Saccharomyces cerevisiae S288C: one gene and its partners. The gene in region 2 interacts genetically with the main gene of each other region. Each region holds a gene or a part of one and is shown on either strand. Other genes may lie near its edges. The genes, in order: GIM5, MAD1, CHL1 and SWC5.

What was found.
Region 1: mutations in MAD1 (region 2) and GIM5 together harm fitness more than expected from each alone (negative genetic interaction), as found in Saccharomyces cerevisiae (7 studies listed by BioGRID, with this or other methods).
Region 3: mutations in MAD1 (region 2) and CHL1 are lethal when combined (synthetic lethality), as found in Saccharomyces cerevisiae (7 studies listed by BioGRID, with this or other methods).
Region 4: mutations in MAD1 (region 2) and SWC5 together harm fitness more than expected from each alone (negative genetic interaction), as found in Saccharomyces cerevisiae (5 studies listed by BioGRID, with this or other methods).

The regions. Positions count from the first base shown.
Region 1 is NC_001145.3:80,532-85,763, forward strand, and holds GIM5 (Gim5p), read left to right. Parts: upstream 1-1,743; coding exon 1,744-1,759; intron 1,760-1,842; coding exon 1,843-2,318; downstream 2,319-5,232. Other genes in the region: YML096W (putative asparagine synthase), read left to right, coding at 1-955; DNA repair protein RAD10, read right to left, coding at 950-1,582; UTP14 (Utp14p), read left to right, coding at 2,559-5,232.
Region 2 is NC_001139.9:344,454-351,211, forward strand, and holds MAD1 (coiled-coil domain-containing protein MAD1), read left to right. Parts: upstream 1-2,665; coding exon 2,666-4,915; downstream 4,916-6,758. Other genes in the region: LIF1 (Lif1p), read left to right, coding at 1-131; MF(ALPHA)2 (Mf(Alpha)2p), read right to left, coding at 338-700; YGL088W (uncharacterized protein), read left to right, coding at 1,383-1,748; E2 ubiquitin-conjugating protein MMS2, read right to left, coding at 1,953-2,355, 2,441-2,451; LCL3 (Lcl3p), read left to right, coding at 5,163-5,987; GUP1 (O-acyltransferase), read right to left, coding at 6,163-6,758. UniProt on the Saccharomyces cerevisiae protein: Central component of the spindle assembly checkpoint. Thought to recruit MAD2 to unattached kinetochores. During checkpoint activity, MAD2 is relayed from the MAD1-MAD2 complex to the mitotic checkpoint complex (MCC).
Region 3 is NC_001148.4:535,366-542,470, reverse strand, and holds CHL1 (DNA helicase), read right to left. Parts: upstream 3,087-7,105; coding exon 501-3,086; downstream 1-500. Other genes in the region: transcription factor TFIIIC subunit TFC8, read left to right, coding at 1-389; RQC2 (Rqc2p), read left to right, coding at 3,535-6,651; RET3 (coatomer subunit zeta), read right to left, coding at 6,884-7,105.
Region 4 is NC_001134.8:680,204-685,674, reverse strand, and holds SWC5 (Swc5p), read left to right. Parts: upstream 1-2,584; coding exon 2,585-3,496; downstream 3,497-5,471. Other genes in the region: ARC40 (Arc40p), read left to right, coding at 1-237; DAD3 (Dad3p), read right to left, coding at 414-698; telomere maintenance protein PBP2, read right to left, coding at 1,006-2,247; COQ21 (Coq21p), read right to left, coding at 5,113-5,313. UniProt on the Saccharomyces cerevisiae protein: Component of the SWR1 complex which mediates the ATP-dependent exchange of histone H2A for the H2A variant HZT1 leading to transcriptional regulation of selected genes by chromatin remodeling. Involved in chromosome stability.

The DNA of each region.
Region 1 (5,232 bases), on a different chromosome or scaffold from region 2:
TCCATACGAAGTGACATCAGAGATAGATCTGAATTTCACATCATTGTCAGAGGTGTCTAAAAATTTATATGCTGTGCTACGTGATTCTGTAAAAAAAAGGGTAGAGTCCATACATCCCAGGCATATTGAAAACTCTCCTATTGCGGTACTATTCTCAGGAGGAATTGATTGTTCAGTAATAGTAGCGTTGATCTGCGAGGTGTTGCAAGAAAATGATTATAAATGTGGAAAACCAGTTATAGAGCTTCTAAATGTATCCTTCGAAAACCCCAGGACTGGTCTTTTTCCCAGTGATACACCTGATAGAAAACTGTCCATTAACAGTGCAAAGACTTTACAAAACTTATATCCTAATGTTGATATCAAACTGGTTGAAGTTGACGTTCCTTATGATGAGTATTTAAAATGGAAGCCATTTGTTATCAATTTAATGTATCCTAAACAGACTGAAATGGACTTGTCTATAGCCATTGCTTTTTTTTTTGCGTCGAGAGGTAGAGGTTTCTTAACTTCTCTGAATGGGGAAAGAACGCCATATCAGCGCCATGGGATAGTGTTATTCAGCGGACTGGGAGCAGACGAACTCTACGGTGGATATCACAAGTTTGCCAACAAACCACCCCATGAACTTGTGGAGGAACTTACAAGGCAAATAAACAACATTTATGATCGCAACCTGAATCGTGATGATAAAGTGATAGCTCATAATGGCGTGGAGGTGAGATACCCATTTTTAGATGAATATGTTATAAAGTTATCTACAGCAGAAATTCCCATTAATTTCAAGGTTAACAAATTAATCCTTCGAAAAGTTGCCTCGCAGTATTTGAAGTTGGATGGAATATCATCAGAACCAAAAAGGGCCATTCAATTCGGTGCTAAAAGCGCTAAAATGACAAAGGATGGTAATAAGCATGGAACAGATTTATTAAAAGAAAATAGGAATTGTTCATAAATTCAAATATTCAATATATTTTGCAGCTTGTTCAAAATTAAATGCTAAAAGTAGAGTAAATCCGTTGAACATACATAGTTTTGTAATGTCATTAAGGGTATCTTCAGAGTTGTTATCGTCTACTATGAATATCAGTATATTATTTTCGTTTCTAGATAAGGGCTGCATTCTCCTAGAGATATAATCGACATATAATTTGTGATAAGTCAAAGTTAAGAACAGTACACTTCTTCCACGAACTAGATAGTCGTAGTATATCATATTAATTCCTGTTGAAGATACATATCTCCAATTGGTGCTCTTTAAGTGGTTCAGGAGTGGATTTTCTTTTTGGGTAGTGTTCACTAGTACAGTTTTTCCCGGTCGAGTACTCCTGAAGGGTCTCTTTCGATTATAGTCATCTGTAGCCTTTGAGTCGGTCCATTCTTCCGGTTTTTGCTGATTGAAGGCGTTTATGACCTGGTTTGAATTTATGCGTCTTGATGTTTGCGGTTCCTGCTGCTGGAGTTTTGATGCATCTATTTCTAACGATTGAGATCCAGTAGTATCTGCACCACTCTTTTCCTTTCTCAATTTGGCCACACCAGCCAATATACTTTCAAATGAAGTAGGATCAGTATTGTTCATCTTCTAGGATAACCAACTTTGTTTATGCCCTTTTTTGTGTTGCGTGGCTGTCTCATAAGTTACAATTTTCTTTTTTGTTCTAACGATTTTAAATAGAAAAGTGTCTTAGATGAAAATCTTGCTGTGACCCAAACAAGAAAGAGCACTGTAAAAATCAAGCCATGTCCTCTCAAAAAAGTATGTAAATGAATAGCTCCTTCGTTGTTGCCACCGTACAGACACTTTACTAACTTTTAAGTTACTACATGTTCGAAACTTAGTCGATTTAACTAAACTAAATCCCGAGCAGCTGAATGCTGTAAAACAGCAATTCGACCAAGAATTGCAGCATTTCACACAGTCCTTGCAAGCATTAACCATGGCTAAGGGCAAGTTCACAGAATGTATTGATGATATTAAAACAGTCTCCCAAGCAGGAAATGAAGGGCAAAAACTACTGGTTCCAGCATCTGCATCATTATACATCCCAGGTAAGATTGTAGACAATAAGAAATTCATGGTCGACATTGGTACAGGATATTACGTTGAAAAGAGCGCTGAAGCAGCAATCGCATTTTACCAAAAGAAAGTAGACAAGCTTAACAAAGAATCTGTACAGATCCAAGATATTATTAAGGAAAAGACCCAGTATTCCTTGTCCATCGAGGCCCAAATAAGACAAGCCGCTATTAGACAGCATGAAGCGATGAGTAAACAACAACAGCAGCAACAAAAAAAGGAGTCGTCTACAGCCTAGGTAACTCTTTTGCTTTTCCTACGATTTTTCATATCTCATTTGTAGCCATCTGATATACGTTTATCTATATGCAACGTAATTTTTTATTTATCGTCACTTTGTAGTTTTCCGGAAAAGGCCATTGAAAATTTTTCAAATTCCTATGGCGATGAGCTGAAAAAATTCATTAAGTGTGCATTCAATAACATCTTGTTATATACTAATAAAAGAGGCTTCAAGACAAAATAAGCTAACTTAAATATGGCAAAAAAGAAATCTAAGAGCAGATCCAAGAGTTCTAGAAGAGTTTTGGATGCTTTGCAACTTGCTGAGAGAGAAATTAATGGTGAATTCGATAACTCCAGCGACAATGACAAAAGACATGATGCTCGTCGTAATGGTACAGTTGTCAACTTGTTAAAAAGGTCAAAAGGTGACACTAACAGTGATGAAGATGATATCGATTCTGAGTCGTTTGAAGATGAGGAGTTGAACTCTGATGAAGCGTTGGGCTCTGATGATGACTATGACATTTTGAATTCCAAATTCTCACAAACTATTCGTGACAAGAAGGAGAATGCAAACTACCAAGAAGAAGAGGATGAAGGTGGGTATACTTCCATTGATGAAGAAGATTTGATGCCACTGTCTCAAGTGTGGGACATGGATGAGAAAACCGCACAGAGTAACGGCAATGATGACGAAGACGCTTCTCCACAATTAAAATTGCAAGATACAGATATAAGTTCCGAATCAAGCAGTTCCGAAGAAAGCGAATCGGAATCTGAAGATGATGAAGAGGAAGAGGATCCCTTCGACGAAATATCTGAAGATGAAGAAGACATCGAATTGAATACAATTACCTCAAAACTGATTGATGAAACCAAAAGTAAAGCTCCAAAGAGACTAGATACGTATGGCTCAGGTGAGGCCAATGAGTATGTTTTGCCCTCTGCAAATGCAGCTAGTGGAGCTTCTGGGAAATTGAGTTTGACGGATATGATGAACGTTATTGATGACAGGCAAGTTATTGAAAACGCTAACTTGCTTAAGGGTAAGTCGTCGACGTATGAAGTTCCGCTACCACAACGTATCCAACAAAGACACGATCGTAAGGCAGCATACGAGATCTCTAGGCAAGAAGTGAGTAAGTGGAATGATATCGTCCAACAGAACAGAAGGGCTGATCATTTAATCTTCCCGCTGAACAAACCCACCGAACATAACCACGCCTCGGCTTTCACTAGAACTCAAGATGTTCCTCAAACAGAATTACAGGAGAAGGTAGATCAAGTTCTTCAAGAGAGTAATTTAGCGAACCCAGAAAAAGACTCAAAGTTTGAAGAGTTGAGCACTGCTAAAATGACACCCGAGGAGATGAGAAAGAGGACTACCGAAATGAGATTGATGAGAGAATTGATGTTTAGAGAAGAAAGAAAAGCTAGGAGGTTGAAGAAAATAAAATCTAAGACATATCGTAAGATCAAGAAAAAGGAATTGATGAAAAATAGAGAGCTAGCTGCTGTTTCCAGCGACGAAGACAACGAAGATCATGATATCGCTAGGGCTAAAGAAAGAATGACTCTAAAACACAAGACAAATTCCAAGTGGGCTAAAGATATGATCAAACATGGTATGACAAATGACGCTGAAACCAGAGAAGAAATGGAAGAGATGCTAAGACAAGGTGAACGTTTAAAGGCAAAAATGTTGGATAGAAATTCTGATGATGAAGAGGATGGTCGTGTGCAAACATTAAGTGATGTTGAAAATGAGGAGAAAGAGAATATAGACTCAGAAGCATTGAAGAGTAAATTGGGTAAAACTGGCGTAATGAATATGGCCTTTATGAAGAATGGTGAAGCTAGAGAAAGAGAGGCGAACAAAGAAACCTTACGTCAATTAAGGGCCGTTGAAAATGGTGATGATATTAAGCTCTTCGAAAGTGACGAGGAAGAGACGAATGGAGAGAATATTCAAATAAATAAGGGCAGAAGAATATATACCCCAGGTTCCTTGGAATCCAACAAAGACATGAATGAACTAAATGACCACACTAGAAAAGAGAATAAAGTTGACGAATCAAGAAGTTTGGAAAACCGACTAAGGGCCAAGAATAGTGGGCAATCGAAAAATGCAAGAACTAACGCAGAAGGCGCAATAATTGTGGAGGAGGAAAGTGATGGTGAACCTCTTCAAGACGGTCAGAATAATCAACAGGATGAAGAAGCAAAAGATGTTAATCCTTGGTTAGCTAATGAAAGTGATGAAGAACACACTGTCAAGAAACAATCTTCCAAAGTTAACGTTATTGACAAAGACAGTTCTAAAAATGTTAAGGCCATGAACAAAATGGAGAAAGCTGAGCTAAAGCAAAAGAAAAAGAAGAAAGGTAAGTCAAACGATGATGAAGATCTCTTGTTGACGGCGGATGATTCTACACGGCTAAAGATAGTCGATCCATATGGTGGTTCTGATGACGAACAAGGGGATAATGTATTCATGTTCAAGCAGCAAGACGTCATTGCGGAAGCCTTTGCTGGCGACGACGTGGTAGCAGAATTTCAGGAGGAAAAGAAACGTGTCATTGATGATGAAGATGATAAAGAAGTTGATACCACTTTACCTGGTTGGGGTGAATGGGCCGGTGCAGGTTCTAAACCAAAAAATAAGAAGCGTAAATTCATCAAAAAGGTTAAGGGTGTTGTTAATAAAGACAAAAGAAGAGATAAGAATCTACAAAATGTGATCATAAATGAAAAAGTTAATAAGAAAAACTTGAAATACCAATCTTCAGCGGTACCATTCCCATTCGAAAATAGAGAACAATATGAAAGATCTTTACGTATGCCGATAGGTCAAGAATGGACATCCAGAGCATCTCATCAAGAGCTTATCAAACCGAGAATCATGACTAAGCCAGGCCAAGTTATTG
Region 2 (6,758 bases):
ACATTTCTGGTTCTGAATCTGAGACTGATGCAAGTGCAGGGGAAAAGAAGAGCTCCAACCATAGTGAACAATCCGGTAATGATAGGGAACCTTGCTTGCAGACAGAATCGGAAACGGATATAGAAACATAGCCTATTTATGAATGAATGTAATATATGGCAAAGAGTATTATAGTATCGCATCATTTGAGAGAATACTTTATTTAAATGGCAAAAAATAGTTCTATGTGAGTGATCGAAAACTCAACTACTCAGATTGAAAAGAAAATAAATAAAACTAGGTGTTGTATGAACGTGAAAGAAATCGAGAGGGTTTAGAAGTAGTTTAGGGTCATTTTTCAGTACATTGGTTGGCCTGGCTTGAGTTGCAACCAGTGCCAAGCATCAGCGTTGGCCTCTCTCTTGTACATTGGTTGGCCTGGTCTCAAATTTAACCAGTGCCAAGCGTCGGCAACAGCCTCTCTTTTCGCCAAAGTGGTGTTTTGCTCTTTTTCAGCCGCCTCAGCAATAGTGGTGTTGATAAACAATAGCCCACTGGCGGTAGCGTTACTGAATGGTAAAAAAGCTATGTCATGATCACCTCCGAAATCCAAGTATCCAATAATGGCCTCGGCTGGCACCTGAGCGATATCTTCATCGGAACTAGCAGTGACAGAAACGGCCGCTAAAATAAAAGTGAGAAAGGTAGAAATGAATTTCATTTTCTCCAATATGTGAATTTACTGGAATTTGATGCAGGTGATGGTAGTAATTATCCATTATATAGAATATAAAAACAGATATAGGAAGGACACCTCAAACTACACCAGAATCAAGGACAGCTTTTATACATATAAGCCCTCGTCTCTGCGCTGTAAAGACACCAAGTTTCACTAGGTCCACGGCGACTCTGTACTGAAACAACTGAATATTTGAAACAGTAACGATGAATAGTTTGGCTCGATACCTTGAAAACAATCACTACAGGCGTCGCCCAGATGCGCACATCGTTGCTGGCATTGATGTACCAATGAAGAAATATAAGTGACAAACTTTATGAAAAGATAGAAAGAGGTTTACAAGATAAGAGAAAAATTATGCTGTGAAGATTAGTAATCGAAGTAACTGCTTATTCATTCAGTGCATGTTTTTCTAGGAATGCGTTTGATATGGGACATACATCTTACTATGCGACATTACCTTTTAGGGACATCAATGAGCAAGTGAACACTAGCAAATTAGGAAAACAACTTTAGCACGCCCAACTGCGTACTGAAACGCAGAAAACTATAGAGTTTCCCGAAACGGTGACAGCTGAGTTCGCTCAAATAAGAACAACACCATGTCTTGAAGCTTCTTCTATAGCGTAGAGTAAGTAGTGCCTTGTAGCCCTACCGTTTTACAATGCATGAGGTTACCCGCACTTATTATTTTTTTCTCTTTTTTTTTCTTAGCTATAAAAGGCAGATCAATGCAGCATTCATTGCTTTATTTGACTTTCCTTTACTATTTATTTACTTTCCATTTCTTATTTTAGTGTTATTTTATAACAGTAACGCAAATTTAACAGCCATTCGTAACACGTACAGTATCTCGTCGAGGTTGAACCCCTCCGGGGCGTTCTTGACCCATGAAGAATGTGGATTGGTGTTGCAATATATTTATTATTGGCTTGGACTGGAGAACAAATTTATCGATCTTGGGTGCAACAGTCTTTCTGTCGTCTGTTTTTTAGCAGATCTAAGGGTTTACCTTCGTGTGCCCGGATGAGGACCGTTGCAAGGATTGATAATACAACTATATACATCATTATCGTAGTGAATTGCACGAGTAACTTCTCGGCATGGGGTGAGTAAATTCATATTATGAAAGTAATTAAACTTACTACCTAAATAAGAGGATATCTATGTCTTATTGCTTGTATATATGAGTGGCTTGGAATGCTGCAAATACTGTTTAGGAAAAAGTAGATAACTAAAAGGTTTCTCCTTCCTTCGGTTGACGCAATTTCTTGTTCGCTGGGGTTGCCATTTCCTTTCTAAGATCAAGTAATAAAGTTTCCATGGTGTAGGCTCTTTTCCAGTCACGTAAGGTGTGGAAGTCAGTTTGGACCTCCCCCGTAGTTGGATTGACGCATGGTAGATTTATCTTGGAAATGAAAGTGACCTTTGGGGGAGAATCTGGATAGTTTGGGCCACAATCTATAGAAAGGGAATAGATTCTGTTTTCATGATTACTATGAGGGGGCCCTAAAATAGTGCCGTTCCATTTGGTCATGGTAATATCGTCGCTATCAGCTAAACCATAACTACATGATTCTGGACCAAACCCTTTTTCACCCTTTTCTAATTCTTCTAACAACCTAAAATTTCTTGGTCTGATTTACAATAGGACAGTGAGGGTACATTTCAAGAATTTGTTAGTATATGTTGAAATCCCTTTCAAAACTTATAATAACATACACTTTTGACATTTTTGTGTAAACGCTGCTTTCTTCTACGTTGCATATACAGAATAAGAATTTCACCACGACATCGAAATGTAATGAGCAGAGATTGTGTAGGAAGTTGATCTTATTTTAGTCTCTTATTTATCGCTAAAGGAGCAATGAAAATTGATAGCGTGTTACCCTAGGAATAATTCCTAACAATTTTTTCCATCTTAAAATCGAGAGGTAATAGTAAATAATGGATGTGAGAGCGGCATTGCAATGTTTCTTCAGTGCATTGAGTGGACGATTCACTGGAAAAAAATTGGGACTAGAGATCTATTCTATCCAGTACAAAATGAGCAATAGTGGTGGGTCCTCTCCTTTCTTGGAAAGCCCTGGAGGTTCGCCCGACGTAGGCAGTACAAATGGACAAAGTAATCGTCAGATTCAGGCGTTACAATTCAAGCTCAATACTCTACAAAATGAGTATGAGATTGAAAAATTGCAGCTACAAAAACAGACGAATATCTTAGAAAAGAAATATAAGGCCACGATTGACGAATTAGAGAAAGCATTGAATGATACAAAATATCTTTATGAAAGCAATGATAAATTGGAGCAAGAGTTAAAGAGTTTGAAAGAAAGATCAGCTAATTCGATGAATGATAAAGACAAATGCATAGAGGAATTGCGAACAACCCTCCAAAACAAAGATTTAGAAATGGAGACTTTAAGGCAGCAGTATGATTCGAAGTTATCAAAGGTCACTAACCAATGTGACCATTTCAAGTTGGAAGCAGAGAGCTCTCATTCGCTACTGATGAAATATGAGAAAGAAATAAAGAGGCAAAGTGTGGATATCAAAGATTTGCAGCATCAAGTGATGGAAAAGGATGATGAATTATCTTCGGTAAAAGCATCTAAGATGATAAACTCACATCCAAACTACTCCACCGAAGAGTTCAACGAGCTCACTGAAATGAACAAAATGATCCAAGACCAAGTTCAGTATACTAAAGAATTGGAACTAGCGAACATGCAACAAGCCAATGAATTGAAAAAACTTAAACAATCCCAGGACACTTCTACTTTTTGGAAATTAGAAAATGAAAAACTACAAAACAAATTAAGTCAATTACACGTACTCGAAAGTCAATATGAAAATCTTCAATTGGAAAACATAGATCTAAAATCGAAATTAACCAAATGGGAAATTTATAATGATAGTGACGATGATGATGATAACAATGTTAACAACAATGATAATAATAATAATAATAAAAATGATAATAATAATGATAATAATAATGATACAAGTAATAACAACAATATTAATAATAACAACAGAACCAAAAATAACATAAGAAATAACCCTGAAGAGATTATCCGGGACTGGAAACTTACCAAAAAGGAATGTTTAATTTTGACAGATATGAATGATAAGTTAAGATTGGACAATAACAATTTAAAGCTACTGAATGATGAAATGGCTTTAGAGAGAAACCAAATACTAGATTTGAACAAGAATTATGAAAACAACATAGTAAATTTGAAAAGATTAAATCACGAGTTAGAACAACAGAAGAGTTTATCTTTCGAAGAATGTCGATTACTGCGCGAACAATTAGATGGCCTATATTCCGCACAAAATAATGCTTTACTAGAGGTCGAAAATAGTGAAACACATGCGTCAAACAAGAACGTAAACGAAGATATGAATAATTTGATCGATACTTATAAAAATAAGACAGAAGATTTAACAAACGAACTAAAGAAGCTAAACGATCAGTTATTATCAAATTCCAATGATGTAGAAACACAAAGAAAAAAGAGGAAGTTGACAAGTGACCAAATTGGTTTAAATTATTCACAGAGGCTCAACGAATTGCAACTGGAAAATGTAAGTGTCTCGAGGGAGTTGAGTAAAGCACAAACTACAATTCAGCTACTACAAGAAAAATTAGAAAAGTTAACTAAACTAAAGGAGAAAAAAATACGTATACTGCAATTACGTGACGGCCCCTTCATAAAAGATCAATTTATCAAGAAAAACAAATTACTTCTTCTAGAAAAGGAAAATGCAGATTTACTTAACGAATTGAAAAAGAATAATCCAGCAGTGGAAACAGTACCCATTTCTGTTTATGATTCACTAAATTTCGAGTTGAAACAGTTCGAACAGGAAGTTTTTAAGTCAAATAAAAGATTTTCCAGACTAAAGCAAGTTTTCAATAATAAATCTTTGGAGTTTATTGACGTTGTAAACTCATTATTAGGTTTTAAATTGGAATTTCAACAAGATAGTCGTGTGAAAATATTTTCCTGTTTCAAACCTGAAAAATATTTGATTGCTGATCTAAATGAAAACACTTTGAAATCTAACCTTGATGCAGATATAGAAGGATGGGATGATCTCATGAATCTATGGGTGGAAGATAGAGGTCAACTTCCGTGCTTTTTGGCAACAATAACATTGCGTCTGTGGGAACAGCGACAAGCCAAATAAGTGTATATACATTTCTAATAGATAATAGTAATCGGTTTTATAATATGATAAACTCCTATCCGCTGACATAATTGTTGGTCACAAAATTCTTTTATCTTTCTTCATCATTGACCTTTTATGATTCCTTTGGTATGCAAAAAAAAAAAAATTGTGTTGAAGAATAAAAACAAATTACAGAATAAGTCACACATGATATAAAAAGAAGCCCAGTTTTTCATAGCTATTAAGGGGGCATAAATGCACTTATATGAGGGAAGGTGATTCTAATTCAAAAAAATCTGCGGATGTTGCTGTCCTCTCCATCATCCTTACGGGTTCGACCTTAACATTGATCTACACATATAAAAGGTATTTAACTCAATTCAAAAGAACAAATGATATACCGCGAAGAATATTTCGTAAACACTGGCTTTATGGTAAAGTCACGTCTGTAGGTGACGGGGACAACTTTCATTTCTTTCACATGCCAGGTGGTATAAGAGGTGGATGGGGATGGTTACGACCCGTCCCACAAATGATCAAGAATGATTCTACGGCAGAAAAGCTTGTTGGAGATAGCAGAAATATGAGGTTTTTCAATTTCAATTGGATTACGCATGGGAGGTCCACCAAAAGTAAAATACAAAAAGCTAAAAGCCAGTTCTTGAAGCTAAATGTACCTTACAAAAATAGGAAAAACCTGCCAACTATTCCTATAAGATTATGTGGAATCGATGCCCCAGAAAGAGCACATTTCGGTAACCCAGCTCAACCGTTTGGTAATGAAGCTTTAATTTGGTTACAAAACCGAATTTTGGGAAAGAAAGTATGGGTCAAGCCTTTATCTATAGATCAGTACAACCGTTGTGTAGCTCGAGTGTCATACTGGGACTGGTTTGGTGGGTGGAAAGACTTAAGCTTAGAAATGCTCAAGGATGGATTAGCGGTTGTTTATGAGGGTAAAGTAAACACAGAATTTGATGATAGAGAAGATAAGTATCGATATTATGAATTTTTGGCAAGATCTAGAAAAAAGGGACTGTGGATCCAGAATAAATTTGAAACGCCTGGTGAATATAAAAAACGTATTTGAGTTTTCGAGAGGATTTTTATCCATCATACTGCAGATTTTCATATTATATGTTCATTAGCTTTTCACGCTTCCTCTCGATATTTTTTTATTTATTTTCGGTTTCATTTTTGTACTAGTAGATAAAAATACATACATGATAGCAGTGTTATACAATTGATATTCGTAAATTTGGCATTCAGCATTTTAGGTAAATTCCGTGCCTCTTTTCTTCTTCTCTGATTTCAAACATTATTTGTACTGCGATGAATAAACTAACGCTTGCCAAAATTACAAATTTGAAACCAGATACGGTACAGAACATATCGCTTAGTAATTTTTTAGTACCGTCAGAGCCCAAGCAGAATCCAAAAAGATTAGCGATCATCATAACCCATATGTTGAAAACAGCACCGACAGCGCAAACGTGTCTGTACCAGACTGCGTCGGTATAATGAGAGAAAATTTGGGTAGCAAAAATTTCTGGTAAGAGGAACAAAACTATTAGCCAACCCCATAATAATAACTTTAGTTCGATGTCATGCCATATAGCTACGAAGGAAAAGACTGCTAGTGATGTCAAAACTCTATTTTTTGAACCACCTAGAGGAATATATATGTAACGGACAACCCACTTATTGTAGCTTCTATGCCAAGCTCTCCAGAATGCTAGTGAACTGTAATTGTTATCAACACACCTGATCATATTTTCAGGTGTATCGATTCCGTCTAGCAAAGCCCACAGCCTAAACAGCCTCCACGGAATCAGTAGTTTTAGCCAAATAATATTCAAAT
Region 3 (7,105 bases), on a different chromosome or scaffold from region 2:
AATACGCTATAAACAAAAAATCCGAATTAACGAATAGTTTTGATTTAGCTTGCGTATTATCTATAGCGGCAATACTTAAAAGAGAAGCGCCAATTTACAACGGCACGTTATTGATGAAGAACAGCTTTCTCGAGGAAACGTTCAATTTAGAAAGCTTCACGGCTGACCCTGAAACTGTAACATCCACCACGAATAACACGTGGAAGAGGTGTGGTGTCACTTTGCTTCCAATACTTACAACGCATGTAAAGATATGTCCCGTGAGCAAACAACGGGTAATAGACATAAAACGAGATGATTTGAATGATTATGGTTGGTTTACAAGGGGTCTATTAGAAAGATTTAATGAAATAAGCGTATATTGTGGAACAACGCTGGAAGTTATGTAAGGATACAAGAGACAAAGAATTACTTGCAGATATAAAAAGTAGTCATAAATATCAGTTTAGTTTACTATAATATATAGTAGTAATCACAGTATACACGTAAACGTATTCCTTTTAGCGTGAATTCAGGCTGCGCATTGAAAAAAACTTCCGTGTTGAAGAAATGACCTGATGTGTTGTATGTTCGGAATTGATAGAATCTTGCACCCAACGTGACAATTTTTTCCGGAAATTGGGCCTATTATATCGCACATCGAGCAAGTAAATGTTTGCGTAATCATTTGCATGCCGTATAGCACGTCCAACACTTTGGTTGACAGCTTTCATACAAATATTCTCCATAAACTCCTTTGTTGCTCGTGAAGCTTCCTCTTCCGTTCCGCCTGACTTCATTATTTTAGCGGCCAAATGCTTCCTTTTAACTATTAGTTCTCCACTAAAAATATTTGGGAACGGCAGGCCCACCATCACCACAGCCCTACATAAATCATCTTGAAAATTTATTCCCTCTGATAATTTTCCCCCAACAATAGCCAGCAAAAGAGACCCCCTTCCCTCTGCTACCGAATCAGAATATCCAGATAGAATATCATCGCCGTCTTTTGCTTCATAGAATATTTTCCTCACGTTATTTAATGTAGCAAACCTGTCATTCTGTTTCCAGCACTGAATTACATGCGCCAAATACTGATAGCTTGGAAAAAAAGCTACAATACCACCCTTTTTAGGAACTGCTTTGCTCAGATCAACAAAAAATTGAAAAAGATGATTATTTACAAGGGAGGGAGACATTCTTTTTTCGAATGTGAACTCAAGCTCAGGCTGGTTTGTGATATAAGTTTGCAAATTCTCTTTCGGTATAACATGATTGCACGACAAGGTCGTAATGTCTTCAGAAGGAACTTCAGGTAGCAAATTCGACAAAAACTCTGACATGGGTTCCATTGTCCCACCTGCAAGGACTACACATTTTGCTTGATTTAGTATTGACTCAAAAGGTTTACTTGGTTCTAGAAGCATGTACTTTATTGAATAATTTTTCTCAAAAAAAAATTGTCCTTCTGACGTCAAATTTGTCAAACAATATAGGAATTGAGAAACCTTGAAAAGTAATGGCTGAGAAGAAACTGATTTTTTATGCGTTTCTTTTATTGGATTTTCATTTTTTGACGATTCTTCCTCTTTTAGTGCCTGGTTATACGTGTCAATTTTGTAAGCAATTTTGGAGACTTTTATATATCTCAATAGTTTATGAATGTTTAGGGTATCGATGTTACTTCCTGTGAACATATCGTTAGGATCTATTTCTTGTCCTATCTTCTTGAAATTTTTAACTATAAATTGAATCAGAGTCATCAAAAGTGAATTGAGCTTTAATAGATTTACTCTGTTACCGGGATTGAGCCTGGACTTAAATTTGTTGAAATAAGTTACTATCCCCTTATGGCAATTCTTTAAGTCCTCCAACGAGATCTGAGAGGAATATATAGAATTTATTGTTTCTATCAAATTATGAGCCTCATCAATAATTACTATAGAATTTTCAAGGTTTATTTGAAGACTTGAACGGGTGGACTCAGAAAGTAAGTATTGATATGGCAAAGTCACTACCTCCGCAATAGGAAGTGCCTCCCTCGAGGCGTAATAGGGACAAATTCCCAAAGATTTTCCCAGGGGAACTAAATCTTCAATATCTTGAATTTCTGAAAAAATCATATCTCTGAGAGCTAACGTATCAGGACAATGACGCCATTCGTTTGTATTTTGATAAAAGATACATCCCTCTTTACTATGTCTAAGGTCCGCACATGCGTCATTAATAGCTTCCAATGTTTTCCACTTCATCACTTTTGGATTAATACAAAGCTGCTTTTTCGAAGCAAGTGGTAAGTACTTCACCTTTTCATCTGGGACCTTATCCCTAAAGGATGATGGGAACGAGGGTAATCTTAACTGAGAAGTAAATTGACCTAATTGTGAATAAGTTCTGGATGCATAATATATTTTCACTGGATTTTGATTTGTAACGTCAAAGCGATCGCCATTGTTTGGATCTCTCGAAACCTTCCCATCAATTTTGTCTAAAAGTGTTATTATTTGTGAATTTAGTTCACTCAATTTGTAATCTTTATCAGATATTCTTCCTCCTCTTGTGCTTTTGGAGGTATCATTGTTTTCAGAATCTGATTCGTACGGGCGCGGAATAAAATCTTGTTCTTCAAGTGATACATCAAGGTGCCTAGCGCCTTTGCGTTTCTTTCTTAATGGATCAACTGATTTATATCTTCCATGTTCTTTATCTAAATCACACATAGTTTTCAACTGCTTACAACTGGTCGTGTTAATTTCGTTTAAATGCTTCTCATAATCATTTAGCAAATCCACCTTTTCTTGTAAAACAGACTTTCGATAAGTGTCAATAACCCAGTCTGGCTCGTCATCGCTTAGGTTTTCACTATCATCTTCATTCGTTTTGATGTTAGTTTCCATGCGGGTGAAAATATCTGCTTTATTCATTCTCAACCAAGTCATCGTGGCACAGATTAAGGACAGCGTCTTGCCTGTCCCAGTGGGGCTTTCCAGGATAGCTATTTTCTTCCCTTCGGATAGCACTCTGTATACAGTTTCCATTAACTGTACCTGAATATCATAGGGCTTATAAGGATGATAGAAAGTCTCCGAATATTCCTTTTTGTCCATTTTTTGGACTAGTGTGACTGTTTTTAGCCTGGTTTTCTACTCTTTTGGGTTTTAAGGAAACAAACTGAAGTTGCAGTAGTGCCCTCAACTTAGCATGTGCTGATTACACTAATGATGAATTTAAATATGTCAGTGATAATGTCATCAACTGTCAGGTAACAAATGAGCCTCTACCTCAACTCTGTGGTTACGATTAAAATTGGATTTTCAATAAATAGCCTGAGTTTTAACCTTTTCAACAATTGCGACTTCTCTTCCGGACATTAACTAATGCACTATATCTATTGTATATTTGGACGCGTTTGAACTTTTCATTCATGCTGCGGAAGGATAGAAAAATGAAATTTCGCCTGAAAAATAGTTTTAAAAGAATCCGATGGCAAATTGAAAAGAAAGTTGCTACTTATTATCCGGTCTAAGAAGTCAGGCAGGCAAGAGATTAATAGCGATGAAGCAAAGAATTAGTGCCCTAGATTTACTGCTGTTGGCTAGAGAGCTGAAACAGGATTTGGAAGGCTACCGATTGAGTAATATATATAACATTGCCGATTCCTCAAAACAATTTTTGCTGAAATTTAATAAACCAGATTCTAAACTCAATGTTGTTGTCGATTGTGGCTTAAGAATTTACTTAACTGAATTTAGTAGGCCAATACCTCCAACTCCTTCCGGCTTTGTTGTCAAACTAAGGAAGCATCTTAAAGCTAAACGGTTAACAGCTTTAAAGCAAGTAGACCAGGATAGAATTCTTGTTCTACAATTTGCTGATGGCCACTTCTATTTAGTTTTGGAATTTTTCAGTGCAGGGAATGTCATTCTTCTAGATGAGAACAGAAGAATTATGGCTTTGCAAAGAGTCGTTCTAGAGCATGAAAATAAGGTCGGACAAATTTATGAAATGTTTGACGAATCACTTTTTACCACAAATAACGAGTCTGCTGATGAATCCATAGAAAAAAACAGAAAGGCAGAATACACCTCTGAACTAGTCAACGAGTGGATAAAAGCAGTTCAAGCCAAGTATGAATCAGACATTACTGTTATTAAGCAACTTAACATTCAAGGGAAGGAGGGCGCTAAAAAAAAAAAAGTGAAAGTACCTTCCATCCATAAACTGCTGCTTTCGAAAGTCCCTCATTTGTCTTCAGATTTATTATCAAAGAACCTTAAGGTATTCAATATCGACCCTTCAGAGTCTTGTTTAAATCTTTTGGAGGAAACAGACTCACTCGCCGAATTGCTAAACAGTACTCAGTTAGAATATAATCAACTTTTAACTACCACCGATAGAAAGGGTTACATTTTGGCCAAAAGAAATGAAAATTATATCTCTGAAAAAGATACTGCCGATTTGGAATTTATTTATGATACATTCCATCCCTTTAAGCCATATATAAATGGGGGAGACACTGACTCTTCTTGTATCATTGAAGTTGAAGGTCCTTACAATAGGACGCTAGACAAATTTTTCTCAACAATAGAATCCTCTAAGTATGCTCTACGTATACAAAATCAGGAATCGCAAGCGCAAAAGAAAATCGATGATGCTCGTGCCGAAAATGATAGAAAAATACAAGCTTTATTAGACGTCCAAGAACTAAATGAAAGGAAAGGCCATCTCATAATTGAAAATGCACCCTTAATAGAGGAAGTTAAGCTTGCTGTTCAGGGTCTAATCGATCAACAAATGGACTGGAACACTATTGAGAAACTAATTAAAAGTGAACAAAAAAAAGGCAACAGAATTGCTCAGCTTTTGAACTTGCCTTTGAACTTGAAACAGAACAAAATTAGCGTCAAGCTTGATCTCTCTAGCAAGGAACTCAACACTTCTTCAGACGAGGACAATGAATCAGAAGGCAATACTACTGATAGTTCTAGTGACTCAGACTCAGAAGACATGGAGAGTTCGAAGGAGAGGAGTACAAAAAGTATGAAAAGAAAATCTAATGAAAAGATAAACGTTACAATTGACCTTGGTTTATCAGCTTATGCCAATGCCACTGAATATTTCAATATCAAAAAAACAAGTGCTCAAAAGCAGAAAAAAGTCGAAAAGAATGTCGGCAAGGCTATGAAGAATATTGAAGTCAAAATTGATCAACAATTGAAAAAAAAGCTAAAAGATTCTCACAGTGTCTTAAAAAAGATCCGCACTCCTTACTTTTTTGAAAAATATAGTTGGTTTATTTCAAGTGAAGGATTTTTGGTCATGATGGGTAAAAGTCCGGCTGAGACAGATCAAATCTATTCAAAATATATTGAAGATGATGATATTTATATGTCCAATAGTTTTAACTCTCATGTATGGATCAAAAATCCAGAAAAAACAGAAGTTCCACCGAACACTTTGATGCAAGCGGGTATACTATGCATGTCCTCAAGCGAGGCTTGGTCGAAGAAGATATCTTCTTCTCCATGGTGGTGCTTTGCAAAGAATGTTAGTAAATTCGATGGCTCTGATAACTCCATTCTGCCAGAAGGTGCCTTTCGGTTGAAAAATGAGAATGATCAAAACCATTTACCCCCTGCTCAACTTGTGATGGGTTTTGGATTTTTATGGAAAGTGAAAACCAGTGGAAATGAGGATAATGGTGATGATGACGAAGAAGAAGAAGAAGAAGAAGAGGAAGAAGAAGAAGAAGAAGAAGAAGAAGAAGAAGAAGAAGAAGAAGAAAAAGAAGAAGAAGAAAAAGAAGAAGAGCAACAGCAAGATGAAGACGATAGTAACGAGGTCAATGGGTTAGAGAAGGGTGGAGATTCAAACGATAGCACGAAAAACAACAGTTTTGAACACGATAATCTTGAAAAAGACATCGAAAAGCATTGCACCATATCATCCGATACCGACTCTGATTCTGGAAATGCTAAAGCCAAAAATGACAATAGCAGTACGCAGCGTATCCTTGATGAACCAGGTGTTCCGATATCTTTAATCGAAAACATAAACAGTAACGTCCGTGGTAAAAGAGGAAAATTGAAGAAAATTCAAAAGAAATACGCCGACCAGGATGAAACTGAACGTCTCTTGCGTTTGGAGGCCTTGGGTACTTTGAAGGGTATCGAAAAGCAGCAACAAAGGAAGAAAGAAGAAATAATGAAGCGAGAAGTTAGAGAAGATAGAAAGAATAAACGCGAGAAACAAAGAAGACTACAGGCTTTAAAATTCACCAAAAAAGAGAAAGCAAGAGTGAACTATGATAAACACAAGTCCGAATTAAAACCATCTCTCGATAAGGGCGATGTGGTTGATGATATTATACCAGTATTTGCCCCCTGGCCTGCGCTTTTGAAATATAAATACAAAGTCAAAATACAACCGGGAAGTGCGAAGAAAACTAAGACTTTAACTGAAATTTTACATTATTTCAAGAGTAGACCACTAGACGGTTCTTCAACTGACAACGAAATGGATTGGCCCCAAGAACATGAAATGATTAAAGGCTTGAAGGAACAGGACTTGGTTCTTCTGCTCTGTGTCGACAAGTTAAAAGTAACAATCGCTGGGCAGAAATCCACCAAGAACGGTGGTAACTCTTCGAAGAAGGGCAAAAAAAAACGCTAAATCATATGAGATGAAAAGAAAATAGACAGCAATTATAATTTTTTCATTATTTTTCATCACAGACCAACGAGAAGAATAAAATGATTAGCATGAGGTGACAATCATTTCTAAATGAGCAACATATACTTATATATATAAGTAGATACATATATATGGAAGGGAGAAAGTAAGACACTGCATATATACCATATAAGACCAGCTAAAATTTTCTTCTATCCGCTTTGCCTTGTGATCATAAGCCTTGCTGTAACCTTTCTTGAAACTTGCTCTTTGCGAAACCCCACGCGCCTAAGAAACCCTTATCCAAATCTAATGCCATTTGGGGTTCGTTCGTAGGTGGTTTAGAAACTCTGGATGCAATAGTGTTAGAGTCAGTTTCGAGGATAACACCATTATCAATGGTTTCATCAATAGCTAATAAAACCATATCATAGTTTTCTTGGATGTTTTTTTT
Region 4 (5,471 bases), on a different chromosome or scaffold from region 2:
GCATCTGGTAATACAGACGAGCTGAGTGGTAATAATGATGAAAGTTCAACTTTCGGTATTTCCGCATTGAGAAAGTTTAAAGAATTAGACTTGAAAGGTAAAGTTAGCACAGATGTCCAAGAAAGTGCACATGAAAACGCCATTGTGGAATTAAGACCTTTTGCGGAATCCAACGGCCAAATCACACAAGTCTCTTCCTGTGGGTTAGACGGTAAGATCGTCATTTATACAATTTAAATATACATACGTATATATATATATTGTTATGTGTATTCCCTACCTCATAATACACCTTGAGTTTGTATTGTTTTTTTCTTCACTTGGCATATACAGACTATATTATTACAACTCACAGCACAATGTAGTGTACCGTAAAAAATAAAGCATCAGAATCAATTTCTTGCACCAAACCATTATTTAGAATTGCTACCCAAAGACTCCTGTTCTTGCTTTCTTTGCAAGATAAGCGAGTACACGCTACCTTTTAGCAGTGTCCCAACTAAACCAATTTTGACCTCTATGTCCCTCATCTCCTGTAGTATCTCATCTGGCGATACAGTTTCTTGCTGTGAATGCTGTTGCCTGTGTTGCGAATAGTTTAGTTCTTTTATAGTTTCATCCAGAGCTTTTAGATCTAAAGAAAGCTGTTTGTATTTGTCCAATACTTCTTGCTGTAAAGGTGAAAGATTGTGTTCCATACTGTGACTACAACGCCGTGTATGTTTCACAGCGACTTTGACTGGCTACTGTAAGCTCTTCTTTTGTATTCTTTGGAATAGTTTATTTACATGTAATTACTGTAATAGCGCGCAGCCGAGCTAAAAAAAAAAAAAATACAAAGCTTTTGATCAATTTGTTACAAAGAGAAATAATTCCGCGTACGTATTTCTATTGATATTTATATATCTACATTCATTCAATTTATTACCTTTTCTTTTATTTTTTTTGCCTTTTGTAGTTTCTGTATTTTTATTTTCTATGTGTTTTTATTGACTAGCAGTATATTTAGAGGGGCGACCTTCTTTTACGTTCAGCATTTGATCTATCAATTTCAATTTTATTGCTAATCAACATAATAGCAGCTTGGGACGCCATGAACGTACCTCTTATGGTAAGTCTTCTCTCCGAAGAGCCTTCTACAGGATCTTGTATAATAATTGAACAACCTGTGGATTCCTTGACCGAATTTATGTGCTTGCCATCTTTGCCAATGACATTTCCGACAAATTTCTCATCTATGAATATCTCTTGTTGTACAAAGTTCATTAATAAATGGTTGCCGGGTGCCGGACTGATAACAGGGCCGTCTAAGACTGTCACATTAGGGATAACGAAGTTCGGTTGAAAGGCCGTTGCGTTTGCAACGCTAGCAGTAGTATACTGCGGTGTGGCCATACTCAACAAAGTAGATGATATTGGTAAATTTTTGTTGGGTTTGTATGAAAGTAGTTTATCGCTTGGATGATATTGGTGGTTTCTTTGATGGAAAATGGTGTTCGGTTGGCTATGGTCTATTAATACTGAGTTAAACTGAGTTGGCTGATAGTATATGGACCTTTTCACATTTTTCTGCGGAGATTCCATCTGAAAGTTTAGCAATGTTTGACTAATGTAGAAAGTAGCAATATGGATAGCATCCGGAACCCCGTTAATGGTTAAAATTCTATCGTTAGAAAGCAGCAATTGATTCGGGGACGCGAATAATTTTGCTGCACTCAAATCCTCAATTTCTCTTAACCGAGACCCACGTTTGCCAATTATACATCCCATAAGATGATGAGGGATCAATAGGTTGATAGAAATCTCAATGTCTTCCCCGTTATCTTCGTTACCATGTTCTTCAAGCAGCGCTCTTACTATCATGCCGTATGCCTTGGCTACATCATCGCAAGTACCCCTCACGTAAACAATTCTTTCAGGAACACCTCTGATATTATTTGATATGTTTATTCTAGCAGAGGTTTCGGATTTTATTCTAGATATAGTGGCGCCCTTGTGTCCTACTATCAGTGAAGCGTGTTTGACTAAGCACAGCATTCGTAAATGTACATCAGAGGGAACATTGTCGGGGGAATCGTGGTCGTTGTCAGAGTGGCTGTCTGCATCCTTCAGGGCCACGCGTTTGATTTCTGCTTCCAGTTGTTCCTCGCTGGTGTCTTCACCCTTTTTCCTTTTGAGCGTGTTGGGAGAAACGAGTACAGTAGTTGGTGTAGTAGTGATTGATGGTTTTGTAGTCTCTGTGGACATAATTGAGCTAAAGAGTATTACAGAAAGATTATTTAATGCCGCGCTGGACGATTAAAATTGTTAGAGTGGATGTGGCTATGGATAAGTTTGAATATGAAAAAGGTTACTTATGCGGCTAACGACTAGGTGCGTATTTATCGTTTGACGAGTATGTACGTGTTTTCTTTTGTATCATGATATTTCGTGTAAGTACCATATCGGGGAAAGACAAAAAAAAGTGAATTAAAGAGCGAAGTTTAAAGATGATGAATAGGATTAATCGACAAGTAAGAAAAAAGACGAAAAGGCGTAAACTGGAATAATATTGTTTCAAGAAAGAAAACCCACTAGCCTATAAATGCCAGAAGTAGAGACAAAGATTATACCAAACGAAAAGGAGGACGAGGACGAGGACGGCTACATAGAAGAGGAGGACGAGGACTTCCAGCCTGAAAAAGATAAATTAGGTGGTGGTAGCGACGATAGTGATGCCAGCGATGGCGGTGACGACTATGATGACGGTGTGAACAGAGATAAGGGTAGAAATAAAGTGGACTATTCGCGTATAGAGAGCGAGAGCGGCGGACTGATCAAGACTAGAAGAGCTCGGCAAGCTGAGGAAGAATATGCGAAAACACATAAGTATGAATCGTTAACTGTTGAATCGATCCCTGCAAAAGTAAACAGCATCTGGGAGGAGCTACAGGAAGCTAGTAAGAACCGTCTTTTGAGCAGTTCAGGGAAAGTCGGCTCTGTTCTCGACGGTTCCAAGGAGGCTAGGTCGACAACGGCCGCGCAACAGGAGGACAAAATCCTCATCGAAAGAAACTACAAGTTTGCTGGTGAAACTGTCCATGAGAAAAAATGGGTTTCACGCAGCAGTGCGGAGGGTCAAGAATATCTAAACAGTTTGAAATTTAAGCAGCAGGCGCCTGCTGCTCCTGTTCAACTGGAAAAAGCAGTTAGGACCAAGTCCAATGAAAGCCGGCAACACTTGCGACGGCCACTGAAAAGGCCTCCATTGTTGGAGCAGATCATTTCTGGCGGGCTACGACCCAAGCTAACGACATTAGAAAAATCTCAGCTGGACTGGGCTAGTTATGTAGACCGTGCTGGACTTAACGACGAATTGGTGCTGCACAACAAGGATGGGTTCTTGGCCCGGCAAGAATTTCTGCAGCGGGTCGGGTCTGCAGAGGACGAGAGATACAAAGAATTGCGCCGGCAACAACTTGCTCAGCAGTTGCAGCAGGATAGCGAAGCTTCATAGACAAATATTACATGTATTAAATAACATGCTTTTCTGCTCAAATTTTTTTAACCGCCGAGGCCTGCACACTTTCACTACGTGTATAACGATGCTGCAGACAAAGTAATGGGGTGTATGGGTGTGGGTGGCAAAAAAAACCTAGCAACGCTCTATGTTTCTTTTCTTTTTTCTTTCTTTTTTTTTTTTTGCCGTTTCCGATGGGCCACTCGGTGAAAACATATAAAAAGGGCTCTACATTCATTTTTTCATCGATGAGTACTTTACTTGTTATCAGATTTATTCATTTTGTTTCTACTTGTTTTTTTTTTAAATCCCCACGAATCTCTTTGCCTTTTGGCTTAGATCAAGTGTAGTATCTGTTCTTTTCAGTGTAACAACTGAAATGACCTCAATGAGGCTCATTACCTTTTAATTTGTTACAATACACATTTTTTGGCACCCAAAATAATAAAATGGACGGGAAGAGACTTTTTAAGCAAGTTGTTTTCCGCTAATGTCAGGTCTCACTACTTTTTGCTGCTATTTTTCTTCGCTCATGGTTTCTTCATAAGGCGTTTTTATGATGGTTTTTCGAAATTGGTTTTTGAGACGACGGTTGCTCAAGGTTATTGTTTTTGTTTTCTTCTGGTTGTTTTCTATTTTCTTTTTTTTAGCTTTCTGTTTCTCCCTTAGTTTGGCTTTTTGCTTCATACTCTTCCCTGTCTTTCCGAGCCGTTTATGTCCAACGCGGGATTTGGTTTTTCTTTATCGATGGGAAGAAATGGTGCTATAGTAGGTTGGGAGATAATATTTATGGTATGGGGTGCTAGTGCGGATGGGGCGCTCTTATTGTTGATTTCTTCGCTCGTCTTCTTTTTCTGGTGGCGCTGCAAGAGGAAGTTTTTCGACTTTGTTATGATTTTTGGTTTGCAAGGAAAGGTGTCTTACGATTCTTTTTTTGATGTAATAGGATAAGCTTGCTTATCCCCCAAGTATCGGCCAAAGTTGTTGATTTTCCTTTTGAAGTGTCCTCGGTTTGAGGGGGTGTAGGGTGGGGTTGGTCTACAATAAGAGTGTTCCATTGTTAACGTGCTGGCGTCTTTTACTATATTTTTTTTCCCAGTTTATTTTGTGCTTATTTTCTCATTGAGGAGAAGGAGCTCTTCTCGCAGGATATAAATGGAGGTTTGCTAAAGGGGAGGAGATGTGTTTGTGAGAATACTGCTGAGAGAGTTCTGGAAGAGAAAAAAAGGAGGCAATGGAAGGCGTTTGCTGGGAAAAGAGAAGAGCCATGACTGCATCTGTTGTTTCAAGGCCAGTTTTATTAACCGCCTATGTCATAGAGGCGTTTTTTTTGGAGGGATTTGAAGAATGCCGGCGGCATCAAGAAACGGACTTGATGGTTGACGCCTGTTTTTAAAGTTAGAGACGTCGCGACCCTCGCACTTGTGGAGTCGTTCTTGACTTTTACTTTGGTCGCTTGATGTTTCTCTCGTCTTCCCGTTCGCTCTTTTATTTTTTTATTTTTTTTTTCCTTTGACTTCGCATGAATGAGTTCATTCATGAAGCGAAAGGAGAGATTCTATATACCACGCAACCAAATATGTAAGTATATAAAATATATGTATGTGTGTGCACTAATTGGCGGCATACTCTTTCTTGACCCGTTGTGATAGGGCCTTAGCTGCTTCCCATTGCCTGTCCCGAGTCCAGCGACTCAAGACGTTGGACGTGCGCACGTACTCACACATGGCCGAATTGGCCCTTACGAATGAGCTCTTGGCTACCCCTCTTGCTGCACTCGCCACACACCATAACTGGTATAATTCGTTTCTCATGCTAGTCTCTTTTTTTTTTTTTACTTGTTTCCTTTTCCTTTGTTGCTTATCCGCTTTCTCGTTCTCTCCTCTGTTCTTGCCTCAACTCCTCAAATCTCTGCTGTCCCACTTACGTTTTATTTTTTCACCGTCCCCTTTCCCTGCCCTACTACCCCGGG